3 linked regions of the Nothobranchius furzeri genome follow. The protein of the gene in region 1 purifies or fractionates together with the protein of each later gene. This does not show direct contact. Links are inferred from orthologs where the notes say so. Each region holds a gene or a part of one and is shown in the gene's direction. Other genes may lie near its edges.

Region 1 (3,653 bases):
GCTCTGGACTCCTTGCTCTGCATAAGGGCTGGACCAGCAGATGATGCTCACTTTTACTTAGACAAGCACATTAGTGCGTCTTAATCAAGCATTCAGTCTAAAGCCGCAGTAATGAATATATATTTAACAGCAGGGATTCTTTAATTACAGCCCTTTCTGCATCACGTTCCTCTTGTGCTTAAAGACCAAGGTTGCTGAGAAACTATTTTTTTAATCGTTAACTTTGAGCTATGATTGGCCACATGCAGGATGAACGTGAAAATAGTCTTCTACCTCTATTTTCTGCATTTACTCGTCAATTAGTAAATAAACAAGTAAAAGATTGAATTAGAAAAGCCAGCCAGCCAATTCCACATCACATATAAAATGTGCATTCATGGACTCACCCATGTTGGCTTGTAACGGGGAAGGCTGTGGTTGGTTGGTTGGTTGGTTGGTTTAGTGTCCAGGAAAGACTAGAGCCCATCTCAACTAGTAGAAACTTACCGTTAGCATTAGCAACTCCACCACGCAGCAGAACTCCTTCAGGCTTGAGTTATTTGTGGAGATAAAACATCAAAGTTGCAGAGCAAGCAGTCAGTGGTAGAGTCACATTGCTGTTAGCCAATCAGAGGCCAGATGTCTGAATATCAGGAAATGAGACCAAATTCTGCCATCTTCTGCTCACCTCTCATCTGGCTAACGTCTAGTTCCTGAAACAGGAGCACCAGAGCTTTTTTTACCCCACAGAGATCACACTCATTCATATAGAGACCACTGCAGATGGGTTGACAAAAATGAGTAAACTCTGCCTTTAACGAGCAGAAAAACAAAGTTGGGGTTTAACTCGCACTGATCATCACAAAGGCAGTGGCAGAGGAAGTAAACTTATGTAGAATAAATGTTTATTTTCCTATAGACGTACACATCACTGCACGCAGTAAGGCAATTGATAAGTGAATCTATTATTCATGTCTGTTATCAGTAGTTACATGCTGCCAGGCAGAAAAGGACTTTCTGTTTACACTTCAGACTCCATGACATCACTCCTCATGTTTTGTTTTTTGACTTTACCTCAAATGTGCAGAGTTACAAGAGAGCAATAGGGGAGGTTAGTATCTCTGTCGTCTTGTGTGATCCTGCATGGATTTGTATTGGTGTTCCTGGACTTCTACGTGTTTATGGAGAATCACATGCATGCTGTAAAGCCTTCATTCATTTGAGGCGTTGTTTTTCTTTTGAATTAAATAATATTCTGTTTATAATTTGTGCCATTTGACTATTTTAGTTATTTTTCCCAATATAAGGATGCCCTGAATTGTAAACCATTTGATTCCCAGTTGAGTACTTTCTCTGGATGGGACCTCACTCATGTTTTTGATAATCTAAATAGTAATTATGCATTTGTTAATGTTGTGCTCATTCTTTACATCTTTAATTGTTTAGAATGTTTTGAATGCATTCTCAAAGTAAACAAAGCTGTATGCGGGTGCAGGATCATGGCCTCTATGCCAAGGAGCGTGCCGAGGAGCCACCGAGGCCTCCTGTCAAGGCCAATGATTACTCCTCCTCTTCAGAGAGCAACGAAAGTAGCGAAGAAAGTGAGAGTGGCGAGGCAGCAGAGGAGGAGGAAAGCCCAACGGATCGGTAATGCTTGCACAAATAAACTTTTACAAATGAGGTAACGGAAAACTGAGTAGGCCTAAATGTTCAGTCACAGGGATGCAGACACCGATTCGGTCAACACCATGGTGGTTCATGAAGACGAAGGCGAGGCAGAGGGGGAGCAAGCAGGAGTTTATGGGGACCAGACCATGCTGGTGCAGCGGGTGAGTCACGCCAACTTCAGATCATGTTTAAGATGCTTTTTGATTTCTGCAGAGGAATCTGCATGGTGGCAAATATTGTAGAGCAGGGAGATGAATTCATTCAACTCATCATGTTAGACATTTATTTAGGAAGTATAACATCATTTTTACTGTTTTTGCAAACTTCTCAACAAACAGATCTAATTCCAAAAATGATTTAAAATCATTTTTATAGCAACTCTTTTTTTGATTCCAGTTTAACAGAATTAATAAAGGGCATAAACGCTTTTTATTTCTAAAGCCTCATTAATCTGCCTCCATAAAGTCGTCAGGCCTTACTTGTGCAGAAATACACAGAATTTAGAACAACACTAAAACAAAAAGGTCCCTTACTTTATTTTGTGGATTTGTTTTTATTCAGTTATTTAGTTTATATAAAAGATCAAACAGGAATAAACAATATATTTAAATGTTGACACAATGCAACTGTTTAAATTATTCACTTCATTCTGTGATCTGCTGGTTTCTTATTATTAGACCCTTAAATATTTGTAAAGGTTTTTAATGAAAGTTGCCTGAAGCTCCCCTCCAGCTAAATGCTGTTAGTTTGTCAGATAAAGCATCTCTGAGATATTTGGGGAGACGACCATGACAGCATGCATTTCTGGATGGCTCCTAATGAGTTGAATAGGAACAGTGTCTCCTTGACTGAGGGGTTTTGTGTGTGTGTGTGTGTGTGTGTGTGTGTGTGTGGGGGGGGGGGGGGGGGGGAGGTTTAAATAGTGAAATTACAGTTTTGGTATCCTAATTGATACAATGACACACACTGCAGGTTCATGCTAACAGTAGTAGGTCTTCACAGCCGTCTCTGACAGCTCTGAGGCTCAGCTGCAGCACAGGAGCAGTAGCTGTCCTATATTTATGTCACCATCTGGATTGGTCAGCCATCATCCTCACAGGACTTCATGCCCTCTGGAAAATTTGTTTTATTAAAATTACGGCAATTTGGAAAAGTTAGTTTGTCGACTCGCTTTTCTTCAGTTTTCACAAAATAAAAACAAGGATGTCTGAAGAACTTACTGACATTTGATTGAGTTGACAGCTAGAAGTCACTCAGTAAAGACTTCAACTCATTCATGTTTCCAGCCTGCAGAGACGATAAAGCAGCTGACCTGTTATAGAAAAGGCACAAGCTACGTTTAAAGGGATTACTGCTTCTTTACTGTCGTCACATAATACAAGTATCTGTCTATTTGACCTGAAAGACCCCGGAGAAGAGGAGCCATAATGGATACACTAACTTGCCAGATGTGGTGCAGCCTTCCCACTCTCCCACTGAATCAGCCACTCACTCCTCTCCTGGGAAAGACTCTGTTTATGATGTAAGTTGTCCTGATGCTAAGTTTGTCAGCCCTGGTTTTAGGGTTTATTTTTATTTCTTCTATGTATGCCATCATTTCTGCTAGACGCCATCATTTCAGTATGATACTGGCATCAGTAGCACATGTTGTTATGATTCTCTGATGTGAAAAGGTGAAAGTTTCCACAGAGTTTATGTAGACTTGTTTATCTCACCCACCCTTTCTGTTTCACCAGTATCAGTCCAGAGGTTTGGTGAAGGCATCTGGCAAGTCTTCCTTCACTACTTTTGTAGATCTAGGCATGTACCAGTCTCCGGGAGGAACAGGAGATAACATGTCAATCAGCAGTGAGTCGGAACATTTTTAAATGTGCTTAGAGTTGATTATTAGAGAACTTTCGTCTTCTTGTTTATTTGTCTTTTGCAGTCAAACATAAAGAAAACAACATGATTGTTTTGATGCTATTGTGGCGTTTTGGATGAAGTTGTTGATGCACATTAAACTA
Region 2 (3,653 bases), on another chromosome or scaffold:
AAAACTGCACTGCTCTTAGCTTTAACTACATCAAAGAGAGTGAGTGAACTTCAGTCATGGTCAGTCAGTCCCTCTTGTTTACAGTGGGCCCCTGGCTACACTAAGGTGTGTCTGCAGCCCAATCCAGCTTTTGTGCCTAAAGTAATGCAGTCGTCTTATAGCTGCTCCCCTATGGAGCTGCTGGCTTTTCACCCACCTCCTTTTTCCTCAGCAGAAGAGCAGAAGCTTAATTGTCTCCGCCCTGTTCAAGCTTTAAGGGCTTATATGGACCGGACTGCTGGTCTCAGAAAATCAGACCAGTTGTTTGTTTCTTGGGCCACGGCCCATAAAGGCAAACCTGTGTCTCGGCAGAGACTGGCACACTGGATTGTAGAAGCAATCAGCCTTTCATATAGGTGCAAAGGTGCTGAACCCCCTCTGGGGGTGAGGGCTCATTCTACAAGGAGCATGGCCACATCTTGGGCCCTGTTTCGGGGGGTGTCAGTCCAGGATATTTGTGCAGCAGTTAGCTGGGCCACACCGCTAACTTTTGCGCAGTTTTACAGGCTGGATGTGTCTCAACCTTCACTGGCGCATTCAGTGCTGGAGGCCGGATGCACAGCATCTGCCTAGTGGTTAAGCTGAATTTTGCTGCAGCTCGCTTCGGGGTGGACATGCAATCCGGGAGTGGGCCATATCTCCCAGAGTGAAACACCGAACGAAGTTAGAAAAAGAACGTAGGGTTACGTTATGTAAACCCCGGTTCTTTGATAACAGAGTGAGGTGTTTCACCAACAATTCCCTTCTTGCATTATCGGTAAGAAATCGTCCGTATGAGTAGGAGGGATTGGTTGGCCATGTATATACTGGGTGGGCGGAGCCTGGGCACGGCGCAACCGGTCTGTCAGGGACAGACGTGATGTCATTGGAGCTTCCGTAGTTGGTCACGCCAGGGTGATTCCCATAGTGAAACACCTCACTCTGTTCTCAAAGAACCGGGGTTTACATAACTTAACCCTACGTAATCGGCCATAACGGTGATCTTAATTTCGGTATCGGCCCAAAATTTCATATCGGTGCATCACTAGATTTAACAGTTCATGACTACAGATTCAGTTTTTTTTTTGGGGGGGTCAAGTCAACTGTATTTATATAGCACTTTACAACAACATGAAAGCTGACCAAAGTGCTTAAAAAGCCAAATACAGTAAAACCAACAGCAATTTGCTGAAATGCTGAGAATAAGTTACAATAAAAAGGCTCATAGTAAAAGAAATGAAAACATGACATAAAAACCACTAAAACTATACTTTTTATGCTAATTAACAGAAATTCTAATTTAGATAAGTTGTTTTTGTTTACTTAGAGGATTTGAGATGTTTCTGATATTACTGTTATTTCTCAAACAGAGAAAAAGATATAGAAAGTTTTCTGGAGTCAAGTAGAAGTAAATTCATCGGTTACACTCTCGGCAGGTGGGTTTGATTTTAAGCAGCTCCAAACTTGAGAACAGCTTTGTTTAACGTCATAATGTGGGAGCGTAAAGCTGCTTTTTGTGTCCTGCAGTGATACTGACACAGTGGTTGGGTTGCCCAGACCCATTCACGAGAGCATCAAGACACTAAAGCAGGTAAGCTGACAGGTTTGTGGAGCTGTTGCTGCAGGGCAGCCTAACACACCTGTTACTAAATGATTATTTTTCCCTTTGGTTTTCCAGCATAAGTATATTTCCATAGCAGAAATCCAGATTGCAAAGGAGGAGGAATACCAGAAAACTCCCCTCTCTGTTGTGAGTGGAAAGCAAATCTTTAATAATTTACCCTGATTGCGGCCTGAACAGTAATCTGCAGAGGGCTTGAAGGGTCACAGTTCTTGTCCTTTCTGTTTTTCTTTTCAGGGAGAAGAAGAAGTGGAGATGTGCTCCACTGAGCTTCTCTATCAGGGAATCCTGCCCAGTTTGCCTCAATACATGGTTGGTTCTTCAGACAGGGTCTACTTTCAGCTACTGTGAATGTTCACTAATAAAACCTCACTGTATGGTGACTGTTCAGGATCTCCAGCTGTAGATCTCAGCTTAAACTGACTCTTGTTTGGAAGTAATTATTACGTCATTATAGACATGGCTGTTCTCGGCTCTCTCCTGGGCTTATTCATCACACACAACCTGTGTCGAACTAGAATAGATTAAGAATCTCCTGAAATGAGTACCGTATTTTCCGGAGTATAAGTCGTACCAGCCACAAAATGTATAATGAAGAAGAAAAAAACATATATAAGTCGCACTGTACTATGAGTCACATTTTGGGGGGAATTTTTTTTAAATTTTTTATTTTTTACAAAGTCTGAGACCAAGCATTTCACATTTAAGACAAGTACAAGTAACAATAACAGAATAAACAACCAGGGCGCAGCAGCGCGCCACGGTCTCCAGCAGAGGATGGCGGTGTTTCAAACTCTCCCAGCGGGTGGGGAAAGCACCTGCAGCACCCCGCCACAGGCTGCAGCAGGTGATGGCGGTGTTTGAAACCCTCCCAGCGGGGCAGAGGAGCTGAAACCTGGACCGGAGCCGGCCTGCAGCAGCGTGCCACGGTCTCCAGCAGGTGATGGCGGGCAAGGGAGCTCATTCCTGGTCCGGAGCCGGCCCGCGGTATACATAATTTGGTATATAAGTCACTTTGGTATATAAGTCGCAGGACCAGCCAGACTATGAAAAAAAGTGCGACTTATAGTCCAGAAAATACGGTAATTATATTAGCTATATGAAGGAACCTGAAATGCAGCCAGTCCAAACATCAGCTACAATTATAAGATTAGGCAATGACATCACTTTAATACTTTCTGTAGGATTAGTTAGGAAACGCATACGATTTATTTCGACTTGAGTTTGACATTTAAGATCCTGAGACCTGCGCTTTTGTCTGGTCTACATTTTTCATTTCCCCCTGGGGGGTTGTTCTTTTGAACTTTTAAAAAAATGAACACACTTTTCTTGAAATAAATATTTAGAAGAAACAAGTAATAAATAAAGGTAAAATACTACAAAATAAAATGTAGAAAAGTTGAATGTAAACAAAGAAGTGTGTGTGCGTGTGTGTGTGATTAAGTTAAACGAGCTTAAATAGATGATTAGATGATGTTTTCTGTTATCTAAATGTTAGATTGCACTGCTGAAGATCCTTCTGGCTGCTGCTCCCACATCTAAAGCCAAAACGGACTCCATTAACATCCTAGCAGACGTGCTGCCAGAGGAGATGCCGTGAGTGGAAAATTTACTGACTAATGTCTAAAACGGTTGTTCTCATCAAACCCAGACCAGTCTTAGAAACTACTTTGTCCCTCATGCCATCAAACATCTGAACACCTTGCTGGGGTGGGGGTGTTGGAACAGGAGGTGCAGGAATAAAATAGCATAACACAACCTGACAGCATTATTTTCAAATCCTAGAGTCTCATTGTCTATTTTCCATCAGAAGCTAATGCAGGAGATAGGTGTAGGTAGGGATGGGTACCTTTGACATTTGAATCGATATGGTACCAATTCCCGGTACCTACGAATCGATACCGGTACTTAACAATATCAATTTTCGATACTTTTGAGTGTTTAATAACTATTCAAATTGCTTTTTTAATTAAATATATACTATTTTCCCAATATTTAACCATATTTGATTAAT
Region 3 (3,653 bases), on another chromosome or scaffold:
ATTATTTGATGAGATCCGTGGCCCAGATTAATGCAGGGGAACGTTGCTAATGAGCCATAAAACAAAAATTCTAGTCAACCATATTTTTATCCTTTTTAGCTACTGTTTTTATCTCTATTTAACAATTAAAGTATCTCTCCGGTAGTGTTTCTCTTATCTGATGGCACCATCTGGTGGCTGACAAGCATATCACACAAATAGTCACTCGATCCATTTTTTTAAGATGGCGACTTCATGTTTCTTGTTTCTGAATGTGCTTCTGTAGCCGACAAACAGAGCTAAAACACGCATTACAAGTATTATACTCATATCGTGTTGTGCTTTCATATATCTTAAACACTTGTTGGTGAAAAGTTCATCAACTCTGCATCAGCCGAGGTACTTCCTTAAATTTGAAGCACGTAAGCAGTACGCTATTGGTTAGTTCTGGTCGGCGCTCAGGTTCCTATTTCACGGAGCTCTGCGGGGCAGAGGGCGTTCTTATCAACAAAGACGTATTGCTTACATTACATCACAGTACATGATAAGACGATCACTTACGGATTTCTGAAAAATCATATATAACTTCTGAAAAGGGAAAACTCCGGAACCTTAAGTGTAAAAGTCACATTTAAATTTATGTTTATTTTGAGGAATCATCTCAGAACCAGGTCGACCGATACGGTTTCTCTATTGCTGATACCAATGCCGATATGTTGGAGGCATGGTCAGCCGATGTGCTTTTTGAACTCTGAATTTAACCAGCTGTTAAATCTTAACGTTGTGCACAGCTCATTGTTAATAATGGTAATTTAGAGTATTCATCATGCACATGTTACTAGTGAGCATAAAAATACATTTAAATTAAATGCTGCAACAGCACTGGGTTGTCCAAAGATGTGCCTGACTTTAAATCAGCTTTACTAAGGACAAATATCAGCTGTTGTATTAAAATCAGTAAATATCAGACCGATATATCGACTGGTCGATATATTGGTCTGCCCATAATGGCTACCCAATCCATTCATTTTCATTTGAATCAGGCCTTTTGAAGCAGAGGAACACTTGAATGTACCAAGGTCATTATCAAAATATAAAACATCCAAATTATATTAAATATAGTCAAGAAATCCTGTCCAGACTTGAGTCCAAAAAGGAAATTGTGGAGTAATTTAAAGGTTGCAGAGATGAGTGGGACGCTTTCCAAACTTGAATCCCCACTGATCAGATTCCAAAAAAAGAACATTCCCAGTGGAAATCTGTGAAGCTAGACGTTTTAATAAGCTGTTTGACCTTTGTAACGGCAAATGAAGAACTAATATTTTTATCATGGCATTTGTAGAGAAGTAAATCAGAAATACCTACATAGTCTTTACGGTCACTCTTCACTTCTTTGTGGCGTTTGCAACAAAAGGGATAAAAAATGAAAATGTTGTCTAAAGTATTGGGTTTTAGTTGGCCTATATGAGCCCATGTGGTAGGATCTGCACAATTTCCTTTTTAAAATAAGGATTAAGTGTATTCATAACCGTGTGTGTGTGTGTGTGTGTGTGTGTGTGTGTGTGTGTGTGTGTGTGCGTTACATACAGGCTCAGGTGGCATTCCTACAGAGTGAACGGAAAGGGCAGGAGAACATGAAACAGGACCTGGTGAGGCGGATCAAAATGCTGGAGTATGCCCTCAAACAGGAAAGGTTTGTTCTCATCACATTATTCCTGCAGCCTCTGATAAAATAGGACATGTATAGGACAAAGCTGATGTCGGCTGTTTTGGCCCCATCTAACAGTTGTGTACATTCTCCAGGTGCTGTGTTTAGTAAATAAAGCCTTGGATTGGCTTGTTGTCGGGTAATTTTCCCGATGGGATTTGTTTTGTGTCTCCAGGGCAAAGCACCAGAAACTGAAGACAGGAAATGACCAGAGTCCTGGAGAAAAGAAGCCAGAGATGGAGGCAGAGCAGCGTATGTTTTTCACTTGTTCTTGTCTACGAATGCTGCATCTTTTAGAGCCGAACGTGTTTTTTTTCCTACTCATGGCTTGTTGAACGTGTTTTCTGTAGTTCTCAATGGACCAGCTGAGACAGACTCTGAGCCAGCCAATCAGATGTCCTGGAAGGAGGGACGTCAGTTACTACGCAAGTGAGTTTGCCTGATAATTTCAAATCCACTGATGCTATATTATGCTTGTGTTTTATTATTGATTTTCCGTCTGTGGTTGCAGATATCTGGAGGAGGTCGGCTACTCAGATACCATCTTGGACATGCGCTCCAAACGTGTGCGCTCCCTGCTGGGTCGGAGCAGCCCGGAGACGAACGGGCCTCCGCCCGGCGACAGCTGTCAGGAGCCAGAGCCACGAGCAGCTGGAGAGTCCTTGCTGGTCCGGCAAATAGAGGAGCAAATCAAAAGGTGAGGCGTAAATACAGACGCTATCTTTGACGTTACGCCTCACGTACATGCTGCAGTGACGGCACAAACAGCTTCCACATTTTGCTGCACAAAACTCAAATTATTTGGGGGAAAAACAATCGGAAGAAAGGAGAGGAGGGCTAATTTTTCAAAACACTTAACCAGTCCAACCCAGTTCAAGTGGAGGGATGGAACTGGCTGCCAATAAACCTGAGTCACCTATTTACTGATGGTGTCAGGGCTAATAACAGTTACAGGATGAATCTGACAAGTCTAGTTTCTCCTCTAATGCTGCTGGGCGTAGTTCACAGTAAAAATAACAACAAAACAGGCTTCAGTAGACGGAGGCAAGGTTTTTAACTCAAAACTGAGATCAGAAAAAGTAAAAAAAAAATCCAGAGGTTTATAAAAACTAGAGAAACATTAAATGTAATCAGATTCATAGATTTGAGACATTGGACAAAGAAGTGGTTTTAGTATGTCAAAAATAGTGACAATACTTAAAAATTATTTTACAGCGGTGGATTACTCGTTTAAATAATACATTCGCAGTGGTCTCTGCTAGGAGCGAATGGCTTGTAAGTCATACTTTGAAGAAACAATTATACTGGTGCACCATTTCTAGGACCTCAGTTACCCACAGCTGAGCTTCAGACGGCAGGATTTGGAGTCTTATTTCCTGATATTTGGACATCTCGCCCTGGATTGGATAACAGCAACTCTACCACTGACTGTTTGCCCTCCAATGTTGATCTCTACAAATAATACAAGCCTGGAGAAGTTCTGCTGTGTGTTTGAGATGCTAATGCTAATGGTTAGCGTCTGCTAGTTGAGATGTCCTCTGCTGTTTCCTGGCTGTTAAACCAACAGCCTCCCCCGTCATGAGTCAAGATGGGTGAGTCCATGATTGTTAAGTGACCGTGTGATGTAGATCTGTCAGGTTTTTCTAATCCTAGAGTTTCACCGTCTATTTTCTATCGGAAGCTAATGCAGGAGACAGGAGTAGGAGACTATTTTCATGTTCAGCCTGCATGGAAAGCTCACAGTGACCAATTATATTCAGAAATATGTTCAAGTGTTTTCTAAATTCATTAATCAAAGTTTACAATTATAAAACATAAATTTATTTTAAAGAGCAAGTTCCCTGAGAAACCGATTTTTTATTTGTCGTTTTTTAAATATGATCAGTAACTCTCAGTTTAACGTACAGGAACTAAATTAGATGCTGAAAGAAAATAGACGTGGAAACATTGGGATTAGTAACGCCTG

Evidence for each region.
Region 2: the proteins of mink1 (region 1) and strip1 purify together in Homo sapiens (affinity purification with mass spectrometry; 3 studies listed by BioGRID and IntAct, with this or other methods). This does not show direct contact. The link is inferred for Nothobranchius furzeri from reciprocal best matches to the Homo sapiens genes MINK1 and STRIP1.
Region 3: the proteins of mink1 (region 1) and strn4 purify together in Homo sapiens (affinity purification with mass spectrometry; 3 studies listed by BioGRID and IntAct, with this or other methods). This does not show direct contact. The link is inferred for Nothobranchius furzeri from reciprocal best matches to the Homo sapiens genes MINK1 and STRN4.

What each region holds. Positions count from the first base shown.
Region 1 is NC_091750.1:48,005,446-48,009,098, reverse strand, and holds part of mink1 (misshapen-like kinase 1), read left to right. Parts: intron 1-1,066; coding exon 1,067-1,090; intron 1,091-1,474; coding exon 1,475-1,626; intron 1,627-1,693; coding exon 1,694-1,808; intron 1,809-3,052; coding exon 3,053-3,169; intron 3,170-3,383; coding exon 3,384-3,495; intron 3,496-3,653. UniProt on the Homo sapiens protein: Serine/threonine kinase which acts as a negative regulator of Ras-related Rap2-mediated signal transduction to control neuronal structure and AMPA receptor trafficking.
Region 2 is NC_091743.1:46,749,389-46,753,041, forward strand, and holds part of strip1 (striatin-interacting protein 1 homolog), read left to right. Parts: intron 1-1,388; coding exon 1,389-1,454; intron 1,455-1,545; coding exon 1,546-1,609; intron 1,610-1,696; coding exon 1,697-1,768; intron 1,769-1,876; coding exon 1,877-1,951; intron 1,952-3,137; coding exon 3,138-3,235; intron 3,236-3,653. UniProt on the Homo sapiens protein: Plays a role in the regulation of cell morphology and cytoskeletal organization. Required in the cortical actin filament dynamics and cell shape. Part of the striatin-interacting phosphatase and kinase (STRIPAK) complexes.
Region 3 is NC_091753.1:40,954,683-40,958,335, reverse strand, and holds part of strn4 (striatin-4), read left to right. Parts: intron 1-1,568; coding exon 1,569-1,672; intron 1,673-1,862; coding exon 1,863-1,939; intron 1,940-2,037; coding exon 2,038-2,116; intron 2,117-2,198; coding exon 2,199-2,384; intron 2,385-3,653. UniProt on the Homo sapiens protein: Calmodulin-binding scaffolding protein which is the center of the striatin-interacting phosphatase and kinase (STRIPAK) complexes.